4 linked regions of the Drosophila melanogaster genome follow. The protein of the gene in region 3 purifies or fractionates together with the protein of the main gene of each other region. This does not show direct contact. Each region holds a gene or a part of one and is shown on either strand. Other genes may lie near its edges. The genes, in order: RhoGAP19D, Arpc1, CG18748 and CLIP-190.

What was found.
Region 1: the proteins of CG18748 (region 3) and RhoGAP19D purify together in Drosophila melanogaster (affinity purification with mass spectrometry, with the first as the bait; one large-scale study listed by BioGRID). This does not show direct contact.
Region 2: the proteins of CG18748 (region 3) and Arpc1 purify together in Drosophila melanogaster (affinity purification with mass spectrometry, with the first as the bait; one large-scale study listed by BioGRID). This does not show direct contact.
Region 4: the proteins of CG18748 (region 3) and CLIP-190 purify together in Drosophila melanogaster (affinity purification with mass spectrometry, with the first as the bait; one large-scale study listed by BioGRID). This does not show direct contact.

What each region holds. Positions count from the first base shown.
Region 1 is NC_004354.4:20,506,493-20,514,568, forward strand, and holds the start of RhoGAP19D (Rho GTPase activating protein at 19D), read right to left. Parts: upstream 4,203-8,076; 5' UTR 4,027-4,202; intron 2,976-4,026; 5' UTR 2,874-2,975; intron 1-2,873. Other genes in the region: CG1812 (uncharacterized protein), read left to right, coding at 5,416-5,595, 6,410-7,259, 7,339-7,698, 7,862-8,076.
Region 2 is NT_033779.5:13,827,441-13,834,939, forward strand, and holds Arpc1 (Actin-related protein 2/3 complex, subunit 1), read right to left. Parts: upstream 2,302-7,499; 5' UTR 2,270-2,301; exon of another isoform or gene 2,204-2,269; 5' UTR 1,979-2,203; coding exon 1,906-1,978; intron 1,837-1,905; coding exon 776-1,836; 3' UTR 501-775; downstream 1-500. Other genes in the region: PolG1 (DNA polymerase gamma subunit 1), read right to left, coding at 1-251; Orc5 (origin recognition complex subunit 5), read left to right, coding at 2,597-3,694, 3,748-4,032; PolG2 (DNA polymerase gamma subunit 2), read right to left, coding at 4,049-4,443, 4,498-5,188; GatC (Glutamyl-tRNA amidotransferase, subunit C), read right to left, coding at 5,185-5,631; Polr2C (RNA polymerase II subunit C), read left to right, coding at 5,984-6,811; mRpS23 (mitochondrial ribosomal protein S23), read right to left, coding at 6,857-7,220, 7,282-7,443, 7,499-7,499.
Region 3 is NT_033777.3:7,783,527-7,791,007, forward strand, and holds CG18748 (uncharacterized protein), read right to left. Parts: upstream 4,398-7,481; 5' UTR 4,318-4,397; coding exon 4,203-4,317; intron 4,142-4,202; coding exon 3,992-4,141; intron 3,927-3,991; coding exon 3,718-3,926; intron 3,658-3,717; coding exon 3,075-3,657; intron 3,016-3,074; coding exon 2,843-3,015; 3' UTR 2,644-2,842; downstream 1-2,643. Other genes in the region: CG18745 (uncharacterized protein), read right to left, coding at 416-672, 738-1,311, 1,379-1,590, 1,648-1,791, 2,313-2,427; CG18746 (uncharacterized protein), read right to left, coding at 4,846-5,096, 5,188-5,782, 5,933-6,141, 6,205-6,354, 6,470-6,581; CG10086 (uncharacterized protein), read left to right, coding at 7,201-7,315.
Region 4 is NT_033779.5:17,381,722-17,389,672, reverse strand, and holds the start of CLIP-190 (cytoplasmic linker protein 190), read right to left. Parts: upstream 4,659-7,951; 5' UTR 4,178-4,658; intron 4,113-4,177; 5' UTR 4,043-4,112; coding exon 3,778-4,042; intron 3,528-3,777; exon of another isoform or gene 3,344-3,527; coding exon of another isoform or gene 3,280-3,343; intron 333-3,279; exon of another isoform or gene 143-332; intron 1-142. Other genes in the region: Lrch (Leucine-rich-repeats and calponin homology domain protein), read left to right, coding at 5,891-6,203. UniProt on the Drosophila melanogaster protein: Together CLIP-190 and jar may coordinate the interaction between the actin and microtubule cytoskeleton. May link endocytic vesicles to microtubules. May play a role in formation of furrows during cellularization.

The sequences.
Region 1 (8,076 bases), on a different chromosome or scaffold from region 3:
TTTTGGAGGAAAAAGGGGGCGGCACTGGGCGGTAACTCGTTTACTCAACCAAATTCGATTGCTTTCCGTCGCACTTGTTATTTCTCCGCCGCAGTTTCATTTTCACGTTCAGCAGTTTTGCCATTTCATTAGAAACCTATGTACATATGTACATACATACTAACATCTTCTGTTATCGCAAAGCGAGAAGAACAAGAGCTCGAAGCCCGAAGACAGTGAATAATAATAAGCGACGACCTTGGCATTCTTTTTTCGAGCAACAACAAATCTGGAGTAGGGCAAAACGAAAAATAAAATAAGTGCAGTGATAGCGTAGCATTTGCATAATCGGCACTGATTTTGGCTATTGGGTGTGGGAGTGGGACTTTCGCATCGATCGCCAATTATGTAGGGGAGTGGGGGGGAGGGGGAGAGAGAGTTACTTGTAATACTCATTGCCTCTATCAAGCAACTTAAATGGAGAGCATTATTCTGATCTCATCTGTGTGACATTAGTTATGTCATCTCTGTGTTTTCGCCGCCGCTTTCTCGTCATGCGACAGCAACCACGGCAACAACAACAAGTCTTTTAATTCTAGTACTTAAATTGTATAACGTTGTAATTTTCACGCGACTTGCAACAAAGCCAAACAAAGCAACAAAACGAACAATGGCCAGTCGTTGACAAATGTTTGAGCTTAATTAACCGACGACCACCAGCAACAACAAGTGACTAATAGATTGCAAAAAAAAAAATAAATAAAACGAAAAAAATGGCTAAATAAATATGTTAAATCGAAGTGCATGGCTCATGGGGTGTTGCAAAACTCGAATTGCATGACATAAAAGTGAAAAAGACGAGAGATGTAAATTGATTGCTTTTTACGCATATGCTATTTTGCAGAGCCTCACAATCTGATGTTCCGGGTGACCACTGTACAGGTAATGTGAAGCCTCCCTCGACAACGCTCTTCCCTTGAACTCTAATCCCCTCGCGTTGGCCACCCAGATCCTATCTGCCCCTGACTTCCATTCTCTTTGTACATACATACACACATATACACATACACATACATATGCATGTATTTATGTATATTGCGCGGCTTTTTTTGGGTGCAGTAATTGCAGTGCATTTAATTTCCCATCCCGAACGTGGCCGCCTTGAAACCACGACCAAAACAAAAACAAAAGCAGCAGCAACAGCAATGAGCACACGAAAAGAGTCAACAAAAATATTGTAATAAAAAAGAAGGTTAATCAAGCGGCTTGGCTGCGAACCGAGTTCGTTTCCCCCACTTTGGGTTAAGGCGGCTCGTGCTCGGGCCGCTGCCAATAGGCTTAGAGTTGAGGCAGAAGGTGAAGACAGCGGTTCCCAGGCCCCCAGCCACGTCCCTACACTGAGAGAAAGGGCTGGGCCACTTTACTTCGCATTACAAATAAGAGGAGGTGAGATGGCGAGAAAGGTTTAGATTACGATTGCCAAGTCTCAATATAGTTATTTAAATGAATCGCATATATTTTTTGAAGTTCTATGCTTAGTTTTTTTTTTTTTTAATAATAATTAAACACGTCCGAACTCGATTTCCTTTCAGTTTCGAGCTCGAGATTTTAAAGAACCCCATTGGAACCCTATTTTTTAGCAAATAAGTGAGCAAAGTTCATAGAGCATTTGTTTCTGCGCGTGTAACTTCAAGGTTTTATGTAATTTTAGTTTGTTGCTGTTTTTTTTTTACTCGCCCCTTTGGTTTTTTTTTTTTTACTTTTGCTTCTTGCGTGTTGACCAAGACACAAAAAAAAAATTGGAAAACAAAATACAAAATAACATTAGCCCATGGAGAGGCAATAACAGTAACAGTAACCAAAGTCCGGCGCATAAAGTTGAGTTTTCTTACAATTCGTGATTCGGTCCGAGTTCGAGCTCGGGCTGGAAATGCCCGTTATTATTGGCCGGCATTCGCAGGGGGCAGAAACACGTAATGGATTTAACTATTGTTGCAATAATTGCCAATTGGGCAACGTAATTCTTTGCTCATTATACATAATTATCTATTGACTTTTACCATTTGCAGCAGAGGTGCGTGTGCTCCGATTGTTCATGTCTTTATTTGCCCATTGTCCTCAAGTTAGGGGCAATGTCAACGAAGTTAAGTGGCAAAATAGTAAAACAGTAGAGGAAATGGGTAAAAAGTTGGCCGAAAGTGCCCGATAATTCCACTGCGAAATGGGAAATTTTAAACCAGCTGAGTATTGATTGCAAATTACGGAGGTTTCACGAAAATTATCCTGCAATTTTTAAGTGGGCGCTATATGGCAATATCGTTATAGCCAGCAAATACTGCGGTAATTTGGGAATAATTTCAGAAATTAAGTAATTTATTCCTGTTGATTACTTTTTTTAATATTCTTTAATATTCTTCAATGTGACAGGGGTTTTAAAGTTCGAAAAAGGTTAAATCCCTTCAAACGCAATCGTTTGACTGTTAAGGGCTACAATTCTTGTAAATGAAAATTTATTGCACTTATTTATCAAAAAATAAAAAATAATTCAGAAGTTTTAAGAATGAACACATTTTTTTATTCGCCTAATTTCTTGCGTTGTCTCTGTGAATTCTGCAGAAGAATTCTCCGCAGAGAGGAAATGAGAGAAAGAGGTCCAGTAGAAGAGAGAAGGGAGTCTGGTGGTACGTAAACAAAAAAAAAACCTAAAAAGCAGGAAGACAACTTTCGCTGCTGGCATACAACGGAAAATGGAAGACGTGAAAGATGGGAACAGAGCAAGAGAGCAATAAAGAGAGTGCACAAAATGGGCCGAAAAGTGCCGATTCTTCAATTGTTATACTGTTTAGATTTACACAACATTTTTATAAAATAAACAAAAAGCCTATGATACTTACCAAAAACCAGGAAGATTTTCTTCTCCCTTTCTGACGATTTTCTTTTAAACTTTTTTGTTGCTTCCTTTTTGTATATTTATGATTTCGTTTTAATTTTGCAAACTAGAAAAAACACAACAAAAACGGTGTGGAGCTGATAAGGCGATTTATTGTTTGTTTATTTAAGGACATTCCTCAATTCTTTCCCATTCTTTCCTCTCTTTTCTTTTCCTTCTTCTTCTTATCAATGAAATGTGAGTCAGTGGCAGCCAAAAAATCAGCAGTAACGGTCAAAATAATAGCACTTCAAAGGGCATTCTACCGTTAACTACCGATAACTCAAGAAAAGTAGAAAGGAGTGCACTCTTTTACTTTCGTGACATAAGATTGATTATTTTACTTTAAAGATACTAAAATGTTTGTTATTTTTAACAAATTTTAATTGTCAGTAAACGCGATGCTATTGATACTATTATCGTAACCGTAACTGTGTTTTTATGTTTTTTCTTGTGGACTTTTTTGTTTTGCTTTATTTTTTGGGTTCTACATGCTGCCGACGCCGCAGTTGGCGTCGCTGCTGGCAGTTTCCTCATGTGGCGCGCACACACGCACATACCGCACACAAAAACACACTCACACACACCTACACGACTTCATTTCTTTTTCATTTCTTTTCCTTCCTTTCGTAATTGCTCCGCTTTTTTGCTTCTTCTTTAAGGTTGCAGAGTGCGGGAAAGAGAAAGGAAGAAAAAGAAACAGCGCGACAATTTTCATTTGGGCCTGTGCAAAAAAACCACAAATACAGAGTAAAAATCTTTATTTCATGCACGTTGCATTTTGCACTCCAATTGTTGTTGCCGCTTCAGCTTCTGCTTCTTCTTCGCCATTTGACTGTTGCTTTCTTTCGTTGCTTCTGTTGTTGTGGTTGTTGTTTTTGGCGTCGTCGGCGGCGGCGAGCAATAAACTAATTACTTTAACTAGCGAACAACCAAAATGTTTGCCGAATTCGTTGTGTGTTTTTCTTCGCCTTGCATCGATCCTTGTATTTTTTGGAACGCCTTGCACACATTCATCGCTTGCTTTTTACTTTTTTATTACACTTTTCGCCTTTTTCTTTTCACAAAAAAAAAATTTGACGCCACACGTTTGTTGTTGTGGTTGCGCCAGCACTTACGCTGCTTTAATTACTAATGATTCACAATACAATCAAGCGATCGCGCGCGCACCGTCTGCACTTTCGGCCAAATTACAATTAATTAGTTGTGTATTTTACTCTACTTCTTGTTTTACTTGCTCCGCTTTCCACTCGATTTCGTCCGATGTGATTTTCGAGTGACCAGACCAGTCGAGTAGAGGTGGAATACGGCCGATGCCACGCAGGCTATCGATGTTTTCATGCCTGGACGTATGTCGATACTTTGCAGCAGCTTATCGGCTTATGCTGCGATATCACCACTGGACGAAACTTTGGCCATTAGTTAACACTGGAGACTATAGATATTGTGAGAAAAAAAATTAAATACAATTTTTTTACCTGCTAGCCTGCACTTTATTCTGAAATATTTGCAGTGAATAGATACAGCACGCTGAATAAATGTTGGTCCAAGAATGGAACGCGTATTTTTAAGAGTGTATTTGAACTCACCCACACTAATATCATAGTGTATTAATTTAAATATATATTTATATAATATATAATACTTAATTAGATATCTTTTCTCGTATCAAAATTATTTGCGGATCCGAAAAACATTTTCTAACAAGAAACAACTGCCTAACGTGAAATACTTCAATGTCTCTGATAAGATTGACTTTTTTAAAGAAATTAATTAATTATTCTTTTAGTATTAATATTTCTGCCTAAAGTTAACGTAAGCTATCTTACTAAGCTAAACTAAGTAACTAACATAGACTTATTTTGGTGCAAATTTAACAATTTCATTTTTAAATGCTACCATATCAATGTTAAAGGGGAAATTCGCGAGCTTTTGACTTCAAAAGCTAGCATTCTCTTATAAAAACCTTTTAAATTGCATACTCACCCGTCTCCCAATTAAAAGCACCCAGGAATACGGGTATATATATGAAATTTGAAAATATAATTTTAAACGATCGCGCTCCGCAATCGATAGCTAAATGCGCATCACTAGCGGTGCTAGCCGACTTGGCAGTTCAAACGTCAAGAGAAGAAACGTCAAAAACGCGAAAAGTAAAAAGTCGCAAGAGGGAAAAGAAGCAAAGAGGTAGCAACAAGCAAAGAAATCGCACGCGAAACTTTTTTCTCTGCCAGTGTTTAGCAATAATTTAGCTAATTTCGTGCGTATATTTGTCGTAGAACGGTTCATAGTTCGCCAAATAACGGTTTGTAGACAGCTGGCCGCGAGTGTAAACAGAACGTGCTGCCCTCTCGCTCGCACTCGCACTCGCGCACCAGAAGCTCGGTCATCTCAAGAATTTCTTATCAGACGGATTCCCCAACCTTGGGACCACATAGGTTAACATATATATAGGTTAATAGCCCGCTCTAATCTTTGGTCCGTTCCGAGAGAGTACAGCGAACAGCATGGCAGCGACGCCAGCGCCAGCAGTGACGCCGGCAGCGACAGCAACGTCGGCTGCGGCCAAAATTCCTGTGAATCCCGTGTCCCCCGAGGAGGAGACCCTTCTGCGGGGCCTCAACAAGCTGCGCAACGAGGAGAAACTCACGGACGTCACTCTGATCGTCGAGGAGCACCGATTCAAGGTAGGACCCCACCCACACCATTATAGATCCGAGCAATAGCTACATGGAACAGCCCCATCTGTGGATCTGCTTCAGAGATCGTGCCACATCTGTGGGATCAGCTGAGCTACGAGCGGTTACGTCTAGCCTCATGGACACGGCACATCGGCGAAGGCGGATGAAGTTGGGTTGCACAAGTTTGGCTCCCAGAGTGCGCATAGCAAGTATGCATAGATTATCTTTCAGAGCAACTTGGTTGTGATTAGGCTAGGTTAGTTACGACAATACCTTCAATGGCCTGCGCATAGGACAAATAGAAATCGCACTAAACCGGATTGCTCGCATCCTAAACTCGGCGGTTTGGCAGTTTGGCTAGTTGGCCAGTTGGCCATTTGGCCATTTTGCGAGCTCGTGTTAATTATATATCGGAAACCACGAAAGCATAAGGTGACTAGTTATAGGGTTAGAGTGGCAAGTGGTAGGCGAATCGATAATCGTGGCCAGCAAAAAAGCTCATCTTTACTTTCTCTTGCTAATAATACAAATACGAAAACAAATTCGCGACACAAATTGATGTGTTTCGGCCGATGACGCATTTTCATCGCGCTACCTATGAATATTTAGGGATTCCCGGAATCAGACTCATATATTCAGATACATACATAAATCCAGAAAATTCATAGAAATGTTTTATGATACAGATTTTCAGAAATCTGATTTCAAATGTTTTCAAAAATAACATGGGGAATATCAGCGTTTTTCGTTACACTTATTACACTTATAGTAACATTTTTCCCCAAGTAATCGAACGAAATACGTAATCCCAACTTTGCAGGCTCACCGCGTCGTCCTGGCAGCCAGCAGTGACTACTTTTGCGCCATGTTCGCCGACTGTGCCATGATTGAGTCGCGTAAGGACGAGATAAATCTCTACGGTATTAAAGCCAGGGCCATGGGCTCGATCATTGACTACATATACACATCGATGCTGGAACTGAACTACGATAACATCGAGGAGATCCTGGCGGCAGCCACGCACGTCCAGGTGCGCGAGGTGATTGACCGATGCACGATCTTTCTGGGCGCAAAGATCGAGATGGAAAACTGCCTGGCCATTGCGGGAATGGCCGATATCTATGGAATTATGGACTTATCCGAACGGGCCTACCGCTATATGTGCGCTCACTTTGAGGAGTTCGCGACCACATCGGACTTTAAAGAAATGAAGGTGGACCAGCTGCGCTTCATCCTCAGCAGCAACTATCCCATTGACGTGGCCGAGCAGGATCTGGTGCGTCTGGTATGCAGCTTTGCGATCGAACAACAGCTGAATGAGAGCGCTTTGGGGGATCTGCTGAGGCTGATCAAATGGCAACACATTAGCTATAAGTCCGTGGACGAACTGAGGAACATGAACTGCTCGCTGGATAAGGGAAAACAGCTGCCACTGCCTACCAGCTACTACAACCGAATAAAACAGGAGCACATGGGGCACCTACTCAACGGAGTGGTGTCCCTGAAGGATCAGTCACTGCCACAGGGACCAACAAACATGCGGGGCATGGAGCTGTGTCTGCTGAAGATCGGGGGCTTCGAGTGGAACGGCCTGACCAATGTAATAATGTGCTTTTCGCCAAAGAAAATGAATTGGTATGAGTTGACCGCCATTCCGCACATCGATCAGTGTAAGTGTTCGGATTCGAATTAGGATACATTCGTATTATATCATTGTACAGACAATATACATGTTCCATTGCATTCCAGGCAACTTTGGCACGGCCGTACTGAACAACAAACTGTTCATCGTGGGCGGAGCGTACGATGTCTTTTTGAAGGAGTACATCCATCCCTTTGGCTTCTGCTACTGTCCGCTAAGGAATACATGGATGACCATAGCACCCATTCAGCAGGATCGCTGCCGTTTCTCGTTGAACGCAGTGGGCACTCAGCATCTGTATGCGGTGGGCGGCATTCTGGACGATGATAACGAAGAAGCCCTGCGCATGATCTCCAACGTGGAGCGCTACGATATCGCCAAGAATGTATGGACCTATATGCCTAGTCTGCAGGAGAATCGCAGTCAGCATGCCGGCGTCGTTGTGGGCGATAAGCTTTACATCTCTGGTGTGTTTTCAATGCAATGCAAAAAAAAAAAACAGCTTGTAAACGATGCAGCGCTACGCACTAAATTAAAGTTGCCGAAAGTGTTCATGCATAGTTCACAATGAGCGAAAGGCGTTCGTTTTTAAGCCCCTTAAATTACTGAACTTTCTTTCTTATTTAACAGGTGGCGTCCACTTGGCCAACATACTGGCAAGCATGTGGGTATTCGACACAAAGACGGAAGTCTGGCAGGAGCTGGCCTCGATGCCCACGCCCTGTTGTGACCACGTTTTGGTGGCGGTGGATAATCGCATCTATGCCTGCGGCGGATGGCACGAGAGTTTGACGGAATGGCGGGTTCTGGTGGAGCACATATATGCCTATGATATTGAGACTAAC
Region 2 (7,499 bases), on a different chromosome or scaffold from region 3:
GAGGCCACCTGCTGCTCCGAAATGCTTCGCGGCGCTTGTGGGAACAGTTGGGCGTGCAAATTCCGCGAGATCATCTGCACCTTGACCAGATTTTCCGCATATTCCGTTGGGCCATTCTCCACATTCTCCGGCTTCTTTGGTTTGTTTACCTTTTGCGGAGGCTTGACCCGCCGAAAGATCTTCACGCTACTGCTGGCGTAGTGCTCCCGGCTAACTTTGCTGGCGTACTTTCTGATCAGGTGGAACTGCATCCTCGTTTTAATAAAGGAAACATCCTTTAAGGCAACTGAAGTCCAACCTGCGACCACACACTCCTCCGTAAGATTGCCGCCAGCCTAGGTATTTTTGTGCGCTTGCGCGGCGGTCACATTGATTTAATTCAAATTTATTTCCGTTAAATTAATAATAAATAAATATAAAACATTTTCAAAAAATTCCAACAAATCAAATTTCTTGCTGCTTGAAACGATTAATTATTAAAAAACAAACACTTAACATTTGATTTTACGAATAAAAAACATTTTATTCAGTTTGCTATAAAGGTGAAACACTTTAAAACACACACACACTTTCGGAACCATTATGGAAGTTGGTGGGGGGGGGGGGGGGGAAAGAACAATCTCTTCGGTTAATTTATGTAAAAAGGCTTTCGCACGGTACAGAACAATGGGAAAAGCGATTTTGGAAAACATTTTGGCAAATACTTCGCTCCTGGCCAGGCCAACACACTCGCTAACAGACAATAACACGTAACGCTGGTCCGTTCCGGGCCGCACTAGATCTGCAGGTTGCGCATGCCGCCATTGATGCCGCCCTGCTCCACATTCCAAATGACCAGCTGCCCGTCGACGCCCGAGGTGGACACCTTGGTGGCGCTCGCCTTGTCGCCGGCATACAGTCGCACGCTGGTGATGGCGTTCTGATGTATGGAATCGACCACCGTGTCCGTGTTCTCCGTGCGCATGTTGCGGTCCATCGACTGAAAGATTCTCATGGCGGTAATGCCGCTCGACTCCTTCTTCTGCGACTTATCGAGCTTGCCGCTCAGCACCAGCTTTCCATCGGCAGTCAGACTGTAGAGCAGTGGCACACAGCTATAGCCGGCCACCACGACGGACGTGGGCGAGACCCATTCGCATGACAGGAAGGGCAGATAGCCGGTGCGGCATCGAATGACCGTATTGCCATTGGTAGCGTCCGCGATGCTCACGCAGCTGTCGTGGCCCACCCAGCAGACCTTGTTACCGTCGCTGGAGAAGCTCACGCTGTTAATCCAGCCGCCACCCGAGGTCTGCGAGTTGCGGAACTCGGCCATTAGCTGGCCAAGGGGCTTGCGATTGCCCCACGGCGTCGGCGTCGGTGGCTCCTCGATGTCCTTGATGAAGGCCGAGAAAACGCGCACCTTGTAGTCCGTGGAGCCGGCCAGCAGCAGAACGTTGTTCGGATGCCAGTCCAGCGAAGTGACCGTAGAGCGGATCGGCTTCTTGATGTGCTTCGACACCCACCAGTCGTTCTCCGACTCGAAATAGCACACGGATATGAGTCGGGCGCCCGAACCCACAGCGAACTTGTTCTCCGCCGGCGACCACTTGACGCAGGTTGCCGCCCGATTGATGCGCAGCAGCACCAACGCCGGCTTCCACTTGCCATCGTCGCCCTGCGTCCACACATAGGCATTACGGTCGGCGGCACAGCTCACAATCCGATTGGTGTTCTTGGCCCAGTCGATGCCCATGACGCGCAGATCGTGCTGGTTGAGCACGTCCGCCAGCTTCCAGTCGCTGCCCTCCCGGCTGTATATGTGGATCTCATGGTTGTTGGGCGATAAGGCAATCTCTGCGAATTTTTGGGAGTGGGTGGTGGTGAGTCACACTGTGCCGGATGAGTAATTTGGGTCGCACTTACGGGTTCGATCCTTGTTCCATGCGTGGCAGGTGATGGAGGCCAGCGAGGTGCCAAAGGTGTATGTCTCGGCCATCGTGGGTGGCTAAATGCGCTCGGAATGTGCAGTGTTCGCTCGTCCAAATCCAACCACACGCGTAGTTTCTTCGGTTCGGTTCGCCGGATTTTCGGATTTTGGATATCGCTGTGTAGCAATTGGGCGTTGTTTCCGCTGGATTTTAGCTTCGCTCTCGTTTTAATCGCGGACTCTGGGCCGTCAACACGATTAAGCTGGCGTTGCTGGGATGGATTCTGGCTTTGCCTGGGCCGGAAGAGTAGAGCGTTGTGGAAAAAACTCTTTGGAAAAGTAATGCACAAAATTAATCACCCGAAATTAGAGCTGGAACAAAAATCGATGGCCCTCAATACTATCGTTATTTCGTTATATCGATATTTTTCGATTGTTTGAAAAATGCTAAGGTACCAGTGCTGTTACGCACGTTCGGTATATACCAGAGGGAATAATTTGGCGCCATTTCAATGGTCACACTAAACAGAAACCATTTCTTGTAAACAAATTTTTAATAACTGGCTGGCTCGTAATTTATTTTTGTTATTTTATAAACCGAGGAAGTATTTTCCCTTTTGAAAGCCCGTTTAAATAACACCACTTCGCCTGTGGGTAGCTGAGGAAACTTAAAAGCAGACGACAGCTATGGAAGCCATCTGCTCCTCCTTGGAGCCGCTGTTTCCCTGTCGGGAGGCGGCCATTGAAACGCTGGGCGAGCTGATAGGAGATTCGAGTGAGACATATCCCTCGGCAATTTACCTATTCGGACACAGTGGAACCGGCAAAACAGCTCTGACCAGAGCTTTCCTCAAAGAATGTGGAAAACGGCAAAATGTCCGCACAGCGCATTTAAATGCCATCGAATGCTACACCACCAAGATAATGCTGGAGATCCTGTTAGACTCGCTGGCACCCGATCAAGGTGATGCGCTGAAGGTCGACAACATGCTGGACTTTGTGGAGCAGCTGCGTCGGCAGGCCGCTACACGCGTGGAGGATCAGGGATTTCTCATAGCCGTGGATAACGCGGAAAGGCTGCGCGACATGGATGCCAATGTGTTGCCCGTTCTTCTCCGACTGCAGGAGCTGACCAACCTGAATCTGTGCGTTATTCTGCTCTCCCAGCTGCCCTTTGAGAAGTTCTACAACAAGACCGGACTTAGTGAAATCGTCTGCCTGCACTTGGCGCAGTACAACAAGGCGGAGACACAGCGCATCCTGGGATCTGACTTTCAGCAGGTGCGAAATCAACTGCTGGAACAGTTCGCCCAGGATAAGAAGCGTCTGGAGATTTGCCAGGAAGCCGTAACTGAAGACTTCTACAACAACTATCTGAATCTCTTTCTGAGCGTCTTTTACAAAGCCTGTCGCGATGTTCCAGAGCTCCAGCTGACCGCCAGGAAGTGTCTGTCCACATACTTGGAGCCTGTACTCGACGGCACTGTGGATGCCACGGACATCTCCCGGCTTTGGCGGCATATAGCTGGACCACTGCGTTCCGCCTTAACCCAGATTTATATGCGAATTGAAAAACCCGCGGAAGAAGTTGAAGATTTCACCGCCATAGAAGATCAGAGCGTTCGCAAGCTGGCGCAGTCGCTGGAGCTGCCCTACTATGCCAAATTTCTGTTGATCGCTGCCTTCTTAGCCAGCCACAATGCCGCCAAGCAGGACAAGCGATTGTTCGTCAAGCACCATGGAAAACAGCGAAAGCGGATGCAGACGGTCAACGCCAGAGCCAAGGTGGGTTATTCAATTTTTCGATGACTCCATTTGCTTATTTTAATACCTTTTAGACCACGGAGAAAATGTCCACCACTTTGGGACCCAAATCCTTTAGCATCGATCGTTTGCTGGCCATTTTCTACGCCATTCTAGAGGAGAAAGTCGGTCTGACCTGCAACCTTCTCTCCCAGATCTCAACTTTGGTGCACCTCAATCTACTAAGCTTCGTCTCCGGCGAACAAAACATAATGGAAGGTTCCGCTAGGCTGCAGTGCACCATTGGCTTGGAGTTTGTCCTGCAGATTGGCAAGGTGGTGGGCTTTAATGTCCGCCAATATCTCTGCGACTTTATGTAGCCCCTGGTTGTTTTTTTTAGTTTTTAAATATATTTAATAAATAGTCCGGTACATCGCTTATGTGTATGGTCTCCGCCAGCCTTGTGTCCCGGCTGCGCAACTGCATCAGTCCGTTTCTTAGCGTTTGCTCGTTTATAACAAGTGTATAAGGTATGCCGAGCATATCCGTTTCCAGCAAGTGCTCTGCTAAATGAGAAGCGTTCTTCGTCGTACGAATTCCATCCCCTTCAGAAAGTCTAAGACCGGCGTGGTTGAGAACATGTTTCAGATGCTGACAAAGATCAGACAAGTCAGCAGATAGCTCGGAATCACTTTCCACACAGGCAATTCCACATTGATATGGCGCCAGAACGCGGTGTAAGAGCAGGGATTGCGAGTCCCGGCCATGATCACAGCCATCCAGAAGCAGAGCTAAAGGATAATAATATAGAAAGATTTTCAAAGATAGTTATGATGACCACTTACCGCAGGTGGTAGTTTCCAGCTCTATCACAGACCTTATGACAGTCGGTTGCACAATTTCACCCGTTCGCGCATCGGGCAGCCGGAAGTCTTTGTCGTCCACTATTCTCACCAGGCTCAGTTGCTCCACGGTCACTTCTCCTGCATCACCGTAGCTCGTGCGGATATCGATGGCTTGATAGTCGTTGGGATTGAGATCCTCAGCCAAATCGCAAGGTACGATGCGGTAGCGACTGGGATTCGAGGAAAGACGCATCCACCAGATCTTGCTCTCACGCTGCATGTTGTAGAAGTGCTCCAGTGCGCGATGTGGTTCCACTAGGAAGTCCGTGGTTAAATGTAGCGTAGGACCCTTTATCCCAAATAGGGAATTGCTAGTGGGACCAGAACAAGTGCTTTGATGTTTCAGAAGAGTGGGACATTTGGCCTTTCGAGGATGATCTTTGACGAGTTTTTGGAAATTGTTACGGAATTGCTGGCTTTGTGGAAAGGAAAAACGCTGGATGTTGACTGGATTTATGGGTTCTTTCGTGGCGCCCAGGTGCGCAGCCAAGGGACGTAGTCGTGTCCAATGCTGTTGCAACAGTTTGGCGTATTCCCTTCCATGACTCAGTAGCTCCAGTTTATTGTCTTCCACGGTGCGAAAGAAGCCAGCGGAAGCCAGGGACTTAAAGCATCGTTGTATGCGACTCATTGCTCCAGCGGAATGTTGCCCGGCGGCGAAACGAAGTAGTCCTCGTCCGTCACCTTGGCGTTCCGGAGCACCTCCGCCCGGCAATCGCCTTCGGTCACCTGGTCGTTGCGTAACTGGAGCTGCTGATGCTCCAGGACCGTGTACAGTGGACGCACGTGCTCCGTGTTGATATGGGCAATCTTGTCCGCGAACTGTATGCTGCTCTTTAGCGTGGCCAGCGCTCGTTCGCTATCCAGATCCACCAGCGACAGCCGCTCCAGCAACTGGATGGTTTTCGTGTCGATCTGGATTTCGGAGGCGCTGGTGTCGGGAAACTTCGAGTCCACTGGTGTCTGTGGCACCTTGGTGGGATGCGTTAGCTGCTTGAAGTCCAATTTAGTGGCCTTTTCATTCGATTTTGTTGCAATTTTGCAGTAAAAACGGCTGCTGAACAGACGCAACATTCTCACCAGCACAAAATCAGAGGTGGAACTGAGTTTCGGAACAATCAGCTAAATGTTATCTGAAAAGTATTGTCCTTGCAAAAATGTTGATTTATGTGTTTATTCTATCTTAATTTAAAGCAATTTTCTTGTTATTGTGATCTAGTTTAATTAAACATGTCTCCATCACATTTGTTCAATTTAATATATCCAGCCCTTATTGTTAAAAATCTAGCTATAAATCCGAAACGAGAACAACAATCGATAACGGCACACTTATCGCCGGCTGTTATTGCTGCACTTCCATCGCTTCCTTTTCACTGAGCGGGTTATTTTTTTCGTGACCCTTTAATTTCATCAAAACAAAACCGCAATGCCGTACGCCAACCAGCCGTCCGTGCAGATAACCGAGCTGACGGACGACAACGTAAAGTTCGTCCTGGAGGACACGGAACTGAGTGTGGCCAACAGCCTGCGGCGAGTGTTCATCGCGGAGACGCCGACGCTGGCCATCGACTGGGTGCAACTGGAAGCCAACTCTACGGTGCTCTCGGATGAGTTTTTAGCCCACCGGATCGGTCTGATACCGCTGATCTCCGACGACGTCGTGGAGCGGCTGCAGTACACGCGTGACTGTATCTGCCTGGACTTCTGCCCCGAATGCAGCGTGGAGTTCACCCTGGACGTAAAGTGCAGCGAGGAACAGACGCGCCACGTGACCACCGCCGATCTCAAGTCGAGCAATGCCAAGGTCCTGCCGGTGACGTCCCGCAACCAGGGTGAGGAGGACAACGAGTACGGCGAGAGCAACGATGAGATCCTCATAATTAAGCTGCGCAAGGGGCAGGAGCTGAAGCTGCGCGCCTACGCCAAGAAGGGATTTGGCAAGGAGCACGCCAAGTGGAATCCTACCGCAGGCGTGTGCTTCGAGTATGATCCGGACAACTCCATGCGACACACTCTGTATCCCAAACCTGATGAGTGGCCAAAGAGCGAGCACACCGAACTGGAGGACGACCAGTACGAGGCGCCCTACAACTGGGAAGCCAAGCCAAACAAGTTCTTCTTCAACGTCGAATCCGCCGGTGCCCTTAAGCCTGAGAACATTGTGGTCATGGGTGTGCAGGTGCTGAAGAACAAGCTGTCAAACCTGCAGACGCAACTCAGCCACGAGTCCCAAAACGATGCATTGGCCGTTTGATTTACATATAACAAGTTTATTTTAAGTTTATAAAAGATGTTCCGCCTAATCCTTGAACAAGCTGTCTATGTTAATGCCCACGTTCGCTTCCTTTTTTCCCTTGGGAGCAGGTGGTGCTGGTGACGACGTGATTTGCTGGCTCACCACAGCCTCCTTGAAGTCGCTCAGCAGCTGGGACTTGGATTCCGAATCCTGCTCTGGCAGGCATTCCTCTGGGGTAGTCTCCAGGCGGGCCTGCTGGCGCTGCTCCGCCAAAAGATCCAGTGCGGTCTCGTAGATCCTTTGCTCATCCAGGGCTCCTTGTCCTTTCAGGTCCTGGTATATTTGGACAAATTGCTGTGACTGCGTGCTGCGCCTGTGGTCAAACAGGGATATCGTTTCCTGGGGTTTGTTTTCTTTATGCAGCTTTCTGTTGGTGTACAAGATTAGTTCAGTATTGGTATAAGCCCGACTGCAGGTGAAAAACATACGCTCGGACAACATCCTCGGCATAAAATATCTGGCGCACTGGAATCTCAGGCGCGGGTCTGTCGAATCGGGGCTCCAGTTTCGGCGGAAAGGCGGCGTACACATCGTACCAAATGGGTTTATCCTCGGTTTTCATAGCTCCACCGCGTAGGAGGCCCTGAACTCTGCAAGAGTCGGGTGTTTAAAGCTTGCACAGATATTTCGTAGGAGGGTAAATACC
Region 3 (7,481 bases):
GATAAGAACCATAACTTGGACCCGATGTCGGATTCGGATTTCACCGGGAACGATACGGAATCGTAGTCCAAACTGTATAAGAGTCGATAATAAGTTCCCTTGCGAACTACTCGGACGTTCACTTGGGGTTTTCGGTCTGTTATCAGAGTTGGTTGTCGAGACCTTGGCACTGGGGAAGTTATTGCCAGCATTCATCGAGGGGTTTTCAAGAGGAAAGAAAAGCGTCGTGTTTGAAAATCTTAGACTACATATGGTAATATATATATAATTTCGAATAATTTCAAAAATCGCTCCACCCTGTACCAGTCTTGGAATTGTGATAAAATGTTTATTATAAAGTGTTAGGTGGAACTTTTGCCTTGTGTGCAAATGCTTTATCGCCCTTACATTTCTAGTATAGTATTTATTTTCGTTCTCATAGCCACGTTCCCTTGTCTTTGTCCACATCCATGGCCGGATTGACAAAGGCCCTCTCTGCCATATAATTCTGCGTATAATCCGTCGGCGGCGGAGCTGAGGGACTGGGTATGTCGAAGACCGGATAGAGTGGCTTATAAGCACCGCCATCCAAACTGAGAGTATTGGGCGGTACTGGTTCCGGGTCGTCTAAGTCGTCTGACCTCGTTGCAGCCGTGCTGCGCATGTGAACAGCCTCCTGATAGTTGGGCGGAGCTAAAAACACCAACAAAAAACATAAATTGATACTGTAATTAGTTTATGGATTCTAGTAAACTCACGAATGGATGCGTCGACAGACCATGGACTTGAAGAGTTTGGAGCAGTGGCTACTTCTTCAACAGCCAGCTCATTAACATTCAGCTGGGGGACGAAACCCCGAGGCTGGATTGGTACGTGTTGTGCAAGAGGGACACTGCCAATGGTCAGCGGAATGGTGACAACCTCGTTGTTGTGGCAACCCTTCACCCTGGCCTCCACCTCCACTTGGTAGGCGATCTGGATGATGCCGCACAGGTTGAAGCAGGTGGGCGGAGTGGCCGGGACTCTGATCTCATAGCTAAATAGCTTCTTGCAGTTCCTTTGCACAGCGTCCCCCTTGAAGGTGTTTACCACCAACCTCTCGGACGTGGTATTGGGCATCGAAGGTGGCTTACTGTGGTATGTCACCAGCATCACAAAACTAATGAGGAGCTGCTCCACCGGAATGTGGCTATCGTTTGTGACCAGCACGCTAAGGGGAACATTCTGGCCAGGTACAAATCCTGTCTGTGGAACGGTCAGTTGGAGGGCCAACGGATCTGATCGGCAAGGCCAGCAGCAGTAGGTCTTCGAGGTTTCACTGTGGGCGGGTACCTACATAACATATTCAATTAGCTTAGGTTCTAACAGATATGTATTCGTGTTTGATTTTGATTCGTACCCTTAGCAGTGGACTATCGAAGTTCAAGTCCATCACTTTTAGCACCGTAAAGCATCGGGTATAGCTCTGATCGAATTTCCAGGGCCTGACGAGGGTTACGGTTGCCATGTACCGCACCCTGCCGTGTGATCCCTCGAAGGACGAAGGACATTCGGTGGGAATCAGGCACACGAAGTTGTAAGTGTGAATTCCCGCTTCAATGGATACTTGGCCTGCAGATATGATTAGCAATTAGATGGACTTTCTTGCCTAAATGGAGCTTTACGTACTGCTCAGATTGGATCCCACCAAAAATGTTTTGGACGCTATGTAATCCTCGCGGCCGCAGAATGTGCGACGTCTCCTCCTTCTGTTTGTGGTCACCCTTTCAATCCAACGCGTCTCTGCGTATCCGGTTATATTCAAGGTGATGGCTGCGGAGAAGAAGTTGATAAGGTATTTCTTAGAAAGGTATTTTAGCTCAATGTACTGTAACGAATTGAATTTATTCTTTAATTGTTTTTTAAGTCATCTAAACGATGATTATGGTTTTGACAAATTAAAATCTTTTAATCATACAGAATTACTGTTATGCATTCACATGAAATATCCATAAAAACTTACAAAAGCAATCGTTGTATATATGAAAAAGTCAAATATGTATCCACCCCTATTTAATATTAATTAATGCGAAACCCATTGATTATTTAAAAATAATTTAATCTTATCGAACGCAAATATTATCATTGATGCATTTGTGTATGTTCGCCAAACACCTTCATGTAGACATTAGATTTCGCACGTGTGGTTCTCTACTCACTATAAATATATGAGTCACCGGACTAAATCTTCGTTTAAAAACATTCAACCGCACTTTTAAGTTGGACGATAAGATAAGAATGACTCATGGCATATTGTCAAATTCCAAAGGTATCTCAAATCAACTGCCCCTCACCTTTTACCAACTTCATCTTGTCCAGCTTCAACGTAACTCTGCCAGTGAGTACCTCGCCCCCAAAGTAGGTGCCATGGGGATTGTTATCGAAATCAATTTCACAGGTAACAGTCATAATTGTAATTGTAACCGCAATCGTGTATTTATGGGCCGATCCTACTCTGATGCCGCTGCAAACACGACTGATTTGATTTTAATGCCAATGTTCAGTTATTTACTCCCTAAATTCCGAGAACTCCAGACAGAGTGGAAGGAACCGCTTTTCGCGACGATAGCACCCACATGCCCACTTGGCTGCCAGAAATCAACTGAGAATAAAACAAACATTGCGGTTGTTCTATATTGGTAGCGATGGCCAGAAAAACTTTATCTTATCGCTGTCACAATTTTGAATTATACATTTTGCCAAATGCAGTCGAGCAGCAAATAGCCCTCATATCTCCGGAAAAATCCCAAGGACTTCTTGACAAGCAGGCGTGGGATGGGATGTCCAATGGTTCTCAAATGTAGAATAGTTTTTTCGCCCGCCTTCATTTCTTTTCCTCTTTATCCAAAGCCGCTTCCTTGCTCTTTTCTACAGTTGAAGTAGACAAATCGAAGACAGGATACAACGGCTTGTAAGACTTCTCTTGCGCATTTCCCGACTCTGACTGTTTCTCAGAGTCACTATGGGAATGCATGGCCTCGGCGTAGTTCGGTGGCGCTATAAAAATCGTATGGTTACATAATTGATATGGACATATTAAAACAAGGACAGCTTACATAGTGTGGATCCTTCTGACCAGGGATATGGGGGAGCAGCTGGAGCAAAAGCTCCCTCTCCCTCAATCAAAGTCAAAGCTCTTTGTTCTGGAGCCTCTGGCCCAGAGCTCTGCGGCGTATATTGCACCGCTGACGGCGATATCGGAACACCACAAATAGTCACCGGCATTATCAGAGTTCCATTGATATGCATGCCCTTCACCTTGGCCACAACCTCGATCTGGTATCCGATCTTGATAATGCGGCACAGATGGAAACATGAAGGCGGAGTAGAGGGTATCATCAGTTGGAAGTCGTACATTTTCCGGGAGTTCCTCAAAACTCCATCTGCCTTTAACTTGGCCACGGACTTGCGCTCGCACTTGGAACCTGAACTTAGATCACTGTAGTAGGTGATCATCATTGATAGTCCAACCTTCACTTCGTGCACCCGAATTTTGCTTTCGTTACCAATCAGAACATTTGCGGGTACCGTCTGACCAGGCACAAAGCCAGTCTGCGGCAAATTCAGCTCCAGCGTTAGAGGATCCGATCGGAAGGGCCAGACCCCAAAGGTTTTCTCAGTCTTGGCCTGCACGGGAACCTTAAAAGCGATTACATTGTTATAGCAGACCTCCAAAATTTCGTTTCATGTTATATTTACCTGTGAAACAGAGTTATAGGTGTTTATGTCCATCACTTGAATAACGGTGAAAGCTCTTGAGAAAATGCTGTCGTACTTCCACGGCTGAATGATATTGACATCCACCATATAACGTATACGACCATGAGTCCCCTCGAACGATGAGGGACAATTGATTGGAATTGGACAAGCAAAATTGTAGGACCTAGTTCCCGGCTCCAAAGCCATTTCTTTGCGAATACATAAAATGAAATTTTGACCAATTTCAATAACAAATTATCACTCAATATTTTACCAGGGCTAATTTCGGAACCCAAAAGATAAACTTTACTGGAAAGGTATTTCTCAAATCCATTGTACGACTCTGAAGTGGACTTGTTATTCGAATCAGTCTTGCTTTCGGTCCAATGGGTCTCTGCATAACCTTTTAGCTTAAGTCGAATTGCTTAATATGTAAAATGTTGCGAGAATTATATGAAGTATCGCAATCACAACTGAGTACTTACCTTTGATTTGAATCGCCTTATCAGTGCTCAGAGTCACTTGACCAGCAACCATTTGGCCCGCGTAAAAAACCCCTTGCGTGTTGTTGTGAAAAAGAATTTGGCAAATTATTCCCATGGTTTTTTATGGTTAAAGCACAAGTTTTAATGAATTTAAGTCTGTCGTTAATTGTTAAGATGTTTTCCCTTCAATTGCCGCAATCAAACTGAACTAAAAAGTTTCTTACCACTTATTTTGTGCAACGGAGAGCTTTTGGTAATTTATCTTATCAGTACACCCATAAATCTATTTATTGGTAAACCCAAAAACCCCCTACAATTTTTTTATACAATAAATAGATCATTCGTAACCAGCTAACATGAGAACTGAATTATCAGGTCCAAAAACAGCTGATACTTATATTTGTGGTGTAAAAACAAGTGCCCCCAAATGAGTTGAGGCTCTCGCATCTGAAGATAGCAATTTCACTCAAATAAATATATTAACTCATCGATAAGATATCGCACAACTCAGCAAATATTGCTCACTGAGGTCGACGAAAAGTTCCCGCAGTTTGCGTTCAACCACAGGGTAATTGTCATGTCTGTTGTATTTCGATTACTTATTAATTATTTACAGAGTGGGTACATTCATTTTTAAGCCCTTCTAAAGCCAAGTGCTTTTTTCTACACCTTCATTGACATAGCCGCCATCAGTCTTGGGTTCATTTGCTCTCAAAGTCATTTCGTCCACTTGGTTTGACAAATCAAAGACTGCGTATAAGGGTGAAAACACAATTGTTTCAGCTTTCCTCTCTTGTGATCCTTTTACACCTCTTTTCTGAGACTTTTTCTTCGATTTCGAGAACTTGTGCGGATCCGGGGAGATGTGTTTAGCCTCAGCATAACTCGGCGGTGCTAAAATAAATAAGTGATTCCTTGAATTATGATCTTTAAATTCGAATATGGAGTTTTGTATGAATTTCCTTAAAGCTCCTATTTTACTCACCAATTGAAGGATCCGCAGCCCAAGGATTGGGGCTTCCGAGTGCTTCTCCATTCTGTTCGCTGCCAATTAAAATCAAAGCCTTCGCATCTAGCTGCTGGGGTGGCAGAACTTCACCCCAAGTCCTTGGTTCTTTTTGGAGTTGCTTCGTTAGCGGGACACTTCCAATAGTTATGGGCATGTGAAGGGACTGGCCGCCATGACAACCTTTAACTCTGGCCTCCGCTTCCACCTGATAGCCGATCTGAATGATGCTGCATAGATTAAAGCAGGTTGGCGGAGTTGGCGGCACCTTAAGATCGAAGGTAAACTGCTGCCGGCATTTGGTCGACACACCTCCGCCTGTTTTCAGGACCATCTCAAAACGGTCCTTGTTGGTGTCCGCGGACGGGGGTTGACTGTAGTAAATCACCACCATAGTCAGTTTTACGGTTATGTCCTCCACGGCTACACCACTGTCATTGGAGACCATCACCTCCACCGGCACGATCTGTCCTGGCACAAAGCCACTCTGTGGAACAGAAAGTCGCATACTGAGTGGCGACGAGCGGCAGGGAAAACAGCAGAAAGTTCGCTGGGACTCCACTTGACTAGGTACCTAAAATTTATAAAATATAAAAATATAAAATTTTATACTTGACCATGGTACAACCAAAGACACTAGAATTAGACATTATTCTAATGTCTTTGGTACAACACATGGTACAGTGGACTATTCCATAGTGTGTGGAGAGACTAAGAAACATACCCTCAGCATTAGGCTTTCGGAGTTCAGGTCCATCACTTTGATCACAGTGAAGCATCGATTAAAGTTCAGATCGAACTTCCACGGACGCACGAACCTCACGTTCACCAGATAACGTATCCGACCTAGTGTCCCCTCGAAAGAAGAGGGACATGTGATGGGCAACTGACAGGCGAATCTATACGAGCTGGTGCCAGGCTCAATAAGCACCTCTGAAATGGAGCTTTGATTTCATTATCTCTAGATTTATGGTGATTTATCATCTTCGAACATACCTATGCTGGAACTAGACCCGTGCAGATAAGCCCTAGTGGCCAAGTAGTCCACATGTCCGTTGAATGATTCACCATTCGACTGATCATCCGGATCGTGTTCGGTATCCGCCCAGTGGGTTTCGGCATATCCCTTGATGTTAAGGATTACAGCTGAAGTAAAAATAAAAGCTATTTTAAGCCCCTGCAACACTTGCACTTCAAATCAATTAAGTCTTTTAGCAAGTAACGTTTGTTTTGAGTAGAGCAAAATGAATCAGCGCCTTACCTTTCACTGACTTTTCCTTCTCAGTTTTAATGACCACCTGTCCTGAAATCAACTGGCCTGCATAAAAAATTCCTTGGGAATTATTGCAGAACTCAATCTCACAGATTACCATTGTGCGGAATAATTTGTATGATAATCCGGGAGCTGTTTAACTTTTGCCCTGTCTGTGTCGTGGCTCCCAACAAACTGAAGTCACCCGCTGCGGCTATTTTTATTTTATTTTTTGTGCAGCATTTATTTGGCCAACATTTTTATTTTATCTTATCAATGCGATAGGTATCTCAGTATTTAAACACAAATTTTTACCATTGCTATCGGAGTATTTACATATGTAAGTGACAGCAATTTGAGAAGTACGAAATTGGCAGGCAGAACTGATCGATGAGGGCCAGTTTTCCCAAGGTTGAGATAGCGATGATAGGGCGTTGTACCAATAAAGAAATAGAGGATAATGGAGTCCCTGATTTATCGCATAAGTTGTTAATAAATTAATGAAGGAATTTCTCTCAACTGGCCGCGTTGCCAACTATCCAGATAGACAAATATTGCAGTGGGTTTTGTACTGAGTTGAGCCGATAAGATAATGCCAGCCGACGGTAAAACTGAAAATGAGAGTCCAGGCCATGTTAGCAATACAGTTGGCCCAGTTCGTGTTTAGCAGCGGGCGCGTTAGGATCGCTCGCAAATCTAAAAGCTCTGGAGAGGCATAAGCCCATTACCTATTCGCCAACATGTCGAAGAACTGCATGATAACGTTCGACCAGAATGAGCACGGCACCTACTTCACCGGCCAGGTGATAACCGGCAAGGTGATTGTCAATCTGAACAAGACCAAGAAACTGCGAGGTAAGTAAGACCAACTAGGATACCCCAACAGTACGGAAACTAGTGGGGGCTTTCGCTTATCGAGCGCGGCGTATCTTATCGCTTCGGATAATGTCAGGTTTGGCAAAAGCAAAAGATTCAACAAACCATTGAAATGGGTAATTAAGTGATAACTATGCGGACACTC
Region 4 (7,951 bases), on a different chromosome or scaffold from region 3:
TCCTTTTAGGGCATCGACAAGGACGTAGAAAAAGGTTCACATAACTTATGCCTTTACAGTTCTTTTTTAAAAGCCTTATATTTTAATTGGAAATTTCCAATTTAAATAACGACATTCGTAATTTGCTGGCACACCAAATCACCTTTTGTGAGTTGTATAACAATAAGTAAGTCTCTCTGTTAAAGTTGGCTTCTATTTTGGATTTTCAATTTCGTTTGCGTGTTCACTATATAAGCTATAGTATAGAGCCGATCAAGTTCAATTGGTTGCCATCTGAGTTGCAATTCCGCGTCTGAAACACGTCCGCCTCGCGAAAAGTCGTTCAAGTAACTGAACGTCGAGAGCCAATCGCGAAGCGAAGTCAGCGCAAACTTTGAGATACTTTTTTTTCGCAGCGAGAGAGCGGCGAAGCCGATTGCCAATCCGGTGCCGAAGCTTTGTTGGCCAGAGTTTAATAGCAGACACTGTGGCAATAGCTCCGCACTCTCGGTGTTTTTATTGAATAAACGTCGCGTAAAAATAAGAGCCGTAAAAAAATGTTTTTATTTTCGACTTTTGCACGGACACGCAAAGTGAGTTAATCCGGCAAACAAAGAATTGCCACATGGCTGCAATTTTATTTTCCCTTTCTTCGATACCATATGGATCGATCGCTCAATGGTTTTTAGCACTCTAATCACAAGTGCAGTAAATGCATGAAAATAACTAAGCAAGAGTTCGAAAAAATGGAATTTCACTTTTTGGGTTTTTTTAACAATCCATATTGGCTTTGAAAACTCTAAAAAATATGTTCTTGTTGTATTCAATAATTAATAGGCAAATATGTTTTGGATTTCGACTTGGAAGAAATCTTATGTGACCTTATATATTTCATAAAATATAAATATTTATAAGCAGTGAAATTTATTATAAAAAAGTATGTAAGTTTTGGAAAATTATTATTTTTTCTTTAAAGATGTTTGAAGTGGCTATTGAAAGATTCGATAAAGTTTTTAAACGCCGGGTTGTGTCTAATTATATATAAAGTTTACACGTAGGAAAACAATTTAAGAATTGCTTGACGAGATTGTAACAATGAATTCCAGAGACTAAATGCCAGTTAATCAGAATCAATTATCTTTAGATTCATCTATGAATCAGCTTTTAAGACAATGCACAAAAAAGCGCATTGAAATATTGAAACACGTATTTAATAAAATTTTCTAAACTATAACAAATACATAACTTATCAAATCGAATATGTATATATATTCCTTTTAAGAGAAGATACTGTTTTCTGTTGGCTGAAACCCGAGACGTTTTCAGCTTAAATATGCAACACGTGTCTTCAATTATAAAGATTTCAACGACTTAATGATGTGAAGTCAAATAAGTGAGACAAAAAGTGGTTAATCATAACATCAATATTGACTCTCCCACGGAGTCGGTGATGTAAACAGAACTGGGCTCAATCTAGAATCGAATGGAGTAATCCCCCGCCAGACGATGCTCATCCATTGGACGTCAATCCCGAACGCGTTTTCGATTCAATCTTAATGCGAAGACAAATGAGCTTTCCGTTTTTATGGGTGGGAGAGAGGCTCACTTCACTTTTGTTTCCGATCGAAACCAATAAAAGTGACATAAGCTCATCCACGAGCACCACGACCGCAATTTTCATATCAGATCGACTGAGAACGGAACCCGGCATCAAATGCGCAGCGCAAAAACACCTCAAAAGATCTGAGCTCACGAACAAGCTAGAAGATACGTTTTGAGTACGTTTTCTGTGTCATCGCCAGAACAAATTCAATTAGGGAACGACGACGTAGAGATAGATTGCCGGCCGGTCGCCAGGTTTTCTCGGTCGCATTTGAGCTGAGTAGATTTTCGCAGACTTTTGGCATTGAGTATGGCGGGCCAAATGACGGGTCTCTTGGCAGATAGTCAAACAGTCCGTTCCAGAATGCTAGGAGAGATTTTAGAAAGCTGATCTGGGCAGCGGATCAAGGCGCTCAGGCGCTTGGAACGGATTTGGTTTTAAGCAGCGCGTCGCATAAACTACTAATTGACTAAAGTAGTTCAACTATTTGGGACATGCGGTATATCACTTCGTTTTCGTTAATAATTGGCAAAATGCGGAATAATCTCTTTGATATGGCGATCAACACTGGCGTATTTGAAACAAATCAGCGTAGAAATTTAAATGTACTAAAGCAAAAAATTCGGAGCTATCAAAACAAACTGGACTTTCATTGAGCCAAGCAAACAGCTTAATTTCTGAAATAGGTTTAATAATTATGTGCAATAAACGACCAATAAACGATTTTAAAAATAATGTATAAATGGGCAAACAAACTAGTTACAAAACCAATCTAATACAAAGTGATAATCTAAATGATCACAGTGCACATAGCGCCGTGTAAACTATTTCTATGGATGCAAATTAAATACACCTCGTGACTCAGTTTTTTCTGTAACCCTAAACATTACAAATTTTTGTGTTTTTGGGTAAATTTACAGGGAATAAATTTCTACGATTTTGCGGTTGCATTGCGACTGTCAATCGGATATGGAACGTGTGTGCCGGCGAAATAGAAAACCCGTCAATCGATCCATGGATCGTTTGGCAGATCGTTTGCTATATGGGCCAGTGGGTCGTCGTATGTTGACGACTGCGGTGCGGTTACGTGCCTGAAATGAGCCACATTGGGCGGATCAATTAAATGGTAGCAGCACTTGCCTAATTGGCCATAATTCTCCTTACCAAAAACACTTTTCGGGGCAGCTCTATAATTATGATCGAGAGTTAAGAGTGGGCGGCAATTTGTTTTGTTTATTTTTGAATTGTGCGTTGGTGTTTCAAAACGATTAAATAATTGAAAGAAGTGAAGCATTTGTTTACCAAACGAAACAGTTGACGCTGGGAATTATTAATGGTTTCTCTTTAGAGAAGAATTTACACTAACTACGCGAGTTCTCGCCGAAATAATTGCAAGTTCAATGTAGTGCAAAAAGTGCACTCAAATGGGGTGGGGTCAGCGTATATGTATGTATATATTTAGCAAGTGAGTGGGTCTGTCATCGTTTCCATTAGATCATTGCATTCGCTTATAGTATACAGCAATCTACATCTTGTGGGTGCACATATATATATGTAGGCGGATGCTTGACTTGCTTGAGCCAAAGATGCAAACACAAAAGTAGTCAAATCTCGGGTATTGAGGGTAGAGAGTAAGTAAACTTGATGAAATGACCCCTTTACAATGTCAAACTTAAAAGTGCATTATTTAAACTCACCATTCTTTTTGGGTTTCTGTTTTCCCATTTGAATGTGGGTACATTTTTTAATATTAACCTTCATGAGTACTTGGTGATAGTATAGTGGTGGGCTATACTATTGAAACATATTTTACTGCGATATTTTCCGGAGAGCAATTCAATTATCAGACTTCTTCCAACTGTTTTATAAGTGAAGAACTCGCGTATAAAAGTGGAAATCGGTAAAAACCCCTTTTCTTGAATTGTGAAATTAATGTTCTTTGTTAAGATGTTAATATGTATGTGACAATGCACTGACAAGATTTTCAAAGGGGCTCTGGTTGAATTCCCATTGGTGTTCAGATGTGTTTTAATTTCATCTTGCTTTAAATTCTAGCTTGTAAAATGGATGATAATTAAACCCAGGGGATAATTAAGACCTTTAACTACTTTCAAAAATACTGCTCTTAGTAACATATTTGCTTTGAGCAATAATACTAACTGGTTTGCGTTGTTGCACAATGCGATTAGACTTACCTCTTGGTGGTGGACCGGATTTGGGAGTTGTGTGATTGCAGCACGGTCTTCCGATTTTGGAAACAGAACCCGTCGATCCAAAACTAGATGGTGCCTTCATTTTGCTGGGCTGCGGGATTCCGGTACCAGAAGTAGCGGGCGTGGGAATATTGGATCTGATGGGACCCGGTAATTTGGAGGCAGTGGCTCCTGGTTCCGGGTCCGCAGTAACTGGCGATGGAAAAGGGGCACTTGTCCCGCCCGAAGCGCTCGTATCATCACTCATTTTTTACTTTATTCTTAATAATCTTCACTTATTAGGACACACGCGTATTAAAAGTAAACGATTTAAAAAACTTGGGGGAAAAACAAGTGCAAAAGAATAATTTTTGGTAAAATAAATGGAATGCTGATCACTTACCTTAACAAATATATGTATAATTCGCTTAATTTGCTTTTATTTTATATTTTTGCTACAAAAATAAATGGATTTTTTTTATTTTTAGCTAGGTTTTGAACCACTGTTCCACTTTTGTTGTTGCTTTATTTTGGCGCGCAGGCAGCTATCTCACTCGCACTTAGGCGGCTGCTTTAAAACAGCTGACTGAGAGCAGATTTCTTTTCTTCTTTTTTTCGTTGAGCTTGAAAAACAAACAAGACCGCTTTTTGTTGTTGCTCTCGTTGGCCAGAACTTCGTTATATTTTCAAAAAATGCGGAACACAAATATGTATTGAATTAATTTTATGCGACTAACAAAATCACTCAAGGGTATTCTATTTATATAAATTCGTAACTTTTTATTTATAATTTTGTGTTGGGCTGCTTGCGCTGATATTCATCAGACTTAAACAAGATTAAATTGAATCAAATTGCTTATCAATTTGTGCATTTCACACACACACACACGCACGCTGTAGCTCTGTTCTATATTTTATTGTTGCTGCTGATTTGACACAGTTATAGAAGAGGGAACCATTAGAAGAGGGTGGGAAAAGGGACGCGAAAACGCACTCTTATTGGTGTGTGTTTACCGCACACACACACAGTACTTAAATAAACTGGAGTGCTTTACATACTGTGCTGTGCGAATACGATTTAGAAATATACGCGATTGGGATTTTACAATTTTACACAAATTTTAGATTTTTTTTGCACTTAGTTGGCGTTGCGTTGGAATTTTGTTGTTGCACTGAGTTAGCGATGGTAGCACAGCTCCAGTGCAGCGCGCCAATCGATAGTTGCGGCTATATTTTCCCGAGGTATTTTTAGAGTAATGCGGTCATACAAAAACACCCTGTAGGAAATTGGCGAATATTTATTCGTGAATATAAATATGTAAAATATGAAATTATGTCACCAATAATGGAAGCGTCGCTGAGCTTATTCAGATTTGTGATCTGAGCCCACACAACTGACAAATTAACGAATTTATAATTTAGTCTAACATGGTTTTTTAATATTCAACCAGTTTATTGCCGGGTTCCAATACCAGGTTACCTGGTCATTTGTTCATTTTTTCTTTAAGTAGTTATATGAAATGTTTCGGTGTAATAACGACTCAGTAATCTAATAATGCCCTAAATTTGAAGGGGCAAATGCTAAACGGTAGATCATTCTGAATAAACAAACATTACATTACATTATAAAATGTAAGATTGTTGACATTTCGAATTGCGATAAAAATGGAGCCAGTGTATCATCGGCGCACTGTGGTATTTTATCGATAGTACTCAAAGGCACGCCGATTTTAAACTAACAGCAACGTTTCCAGCGCTGCCCAAGTAGCATCCCATAAACCGATTCAGTTGTTTTTCGATTTTCGTTGTGCACTGTCGCTCGTCTGCTGCGTGAGCTTGTGCGTGTGTGAGTGCGCGTGTGTGCGAGGAGGCAAAGAAGAGGAAGCAAGAAGGAAGCCGCAAAAGGAAAATCCAATTCCGAGAAATCTTATCAATGAGCCAAGAAGACGTACACTAAATGAAAAATAATCGAGATGCGTGCGTTTCAATAGAGCAAATTTAGTTTCCAGTTTCGGTTTCTTTCGGCACTTCACTCCGTTTCCTTATCGGTGTGATAGTTTAGCGCGTGCGTGTGTGTGTGCAAGTGTGTGGAAGTGTCGCCACGCCTACACGGGAAATGGCAGCAACGGTTTACCAACGCCTACATAGCGTCGCAGTCGGCGTCGGCAGCGCCGCTGGCAGCGCCATCGGCAGCGGGTCGGCTTCCCTTCCAGGATCTGGAACAGGATCGGGATCTGGAATAGGCCACGCTGGAAACACCTCCTCCTCCACCTCGTCTGCCCTGCTTAGTCATTCCCAGCTGACGCGCTCCCTGGAAAGAATCCTGGAAGAAGCGCACTTCAGCGGCGAACTGATCCTGACCAATCGCAAGCTGAAGGACTTTCCCAGGACTGGAACGAAGTACTCACTTACCGACACTGTCATCGCAGGTGCGTACCGCTATTGTATAGTGTATATTCGTAAGGGAGAACAAAGAAAAGGTGTTCTTCAAGCCGGTTTCGTAGCTCCGGAAAAAATTGGGTTTTCATTACTTCCTAAGTAAAGTTTAAACTGTTCTTAATAATACTTAATGTACGAAGTTAATAACATTTTATTGGAAAAAGCATACATTTTTATATTACAAAGTTAAATGGTATTAAAGTTGATTAGAAAATTGTTAGTTATAAAGTTTTCTTTTGACGTCAGAAAAAGTAAAAGTAGAGTTTACATATGTACAAGTACTGATAAAGCAATTAAATTAGTTGCTTATCGAAAATGTTTGGCGTATGTGTATACCTTTAGGGTGCGGCATTTAAGCAAAGGAGGTTTGTTGCCGGTGAGCTAACGAAGTTTTTCCATCTCCATTGCAGTGGCGAATTTTCCTTTTGTTGCTTGAAAATCAATAATTTGCAGCAGCCGTCGGAGGTTCATCCTTTTCCTCCTTTTCTGTCCTCCCATCAGCTGCTCTTTCTCTCTGCGGCTCTCCCATTCTCTCCCTTTTCGGACTGCGCTCAAGGACAATAATTACCGCCGTTATTCGCTCTTCGCCACTTTGCACTATTCGTGTTATCCTTATTTATTTTTATTTTCGCCGCAGCCGGCACGAAAATTTTGTCGAAGTTCAACCAACTTTCGTTTTTGTTAGGACCAAAAAATATGCACCAGCGGAGAAATAGTAAATGGGAAATACCCACCCAGAAAATTCACCGCCCTCTCGCAGGACCCCGCCCCCTCTCACAGCTGCTGCTACCCTCGAACAGATGTTCTCACAACGGGACATGTCTCTCATCGATTTTCACTTGTGTTTGTTGTATACACATACAGTAAACGCTCTGAAAGGCGAAAGGATACGTAGATAAGGTTAGTTGTCATTCTAATCGCTGAAAAAGCGAGATATGGCAATTTTCCATCTAACAATACTTCACAGATCGAAGATTATGTTCATTGAAACGAGACAGATTATAAACTACAAAATTATTTTAGTTTATTTCTTTTAATTACTTACACAAAGTAAATTCCAACTATGAGATGTTATTATTAATTTTAAGACTTATTATGAACGTGGAATGTCACCTTTCAGAGGACGCACTGTATTTTGATGTATTTTCGGTGGAAATGTCTGGAATAGAAGGAAACTTTTTATTTTTGGACTGCGAAGATTAATTGCCGTGGAAGAGAGATAAAAATAAATTGTGTCATAAATTGAAAACTAATTTGGTAAAAGAATAGGGAAAGAATTCAATAAAAATTCCACTTAGCCAGTGCCTTGGATGATGGATAATACCGGAATTGAAGAGCAACAAAAATAAACAAAATTCTCAGTTTGTCTACCATTAATTCAATTAAAATTACATTTTTATAAAGCAAACATAAATTGACTAATTAATGAAACTGAATTGAACAATGCACTTCGATATTGAAAAGAGTACGTAACAAATTTCGGAAGGTTTCAATTAAATTTAGGATACTAGAAGTGTTTAAAGAGATAAAACTTAATCTCCCCCTAACCTAGGAAACATATTTTTAATTTCCTTCCAATCCACTCCGCTCCCCGTTTTCCGCCTACGTGACTTGATTTTCGAATTAAGCTGTGACAATCCGTGACTTATGGCCACGCGCTATTTGTTCGAAATGGGGAAACGATCCCTTCTTCTTTGGAAAACCCTTCCCCACATGGAGAGCCAACGAGCTTCCGGTT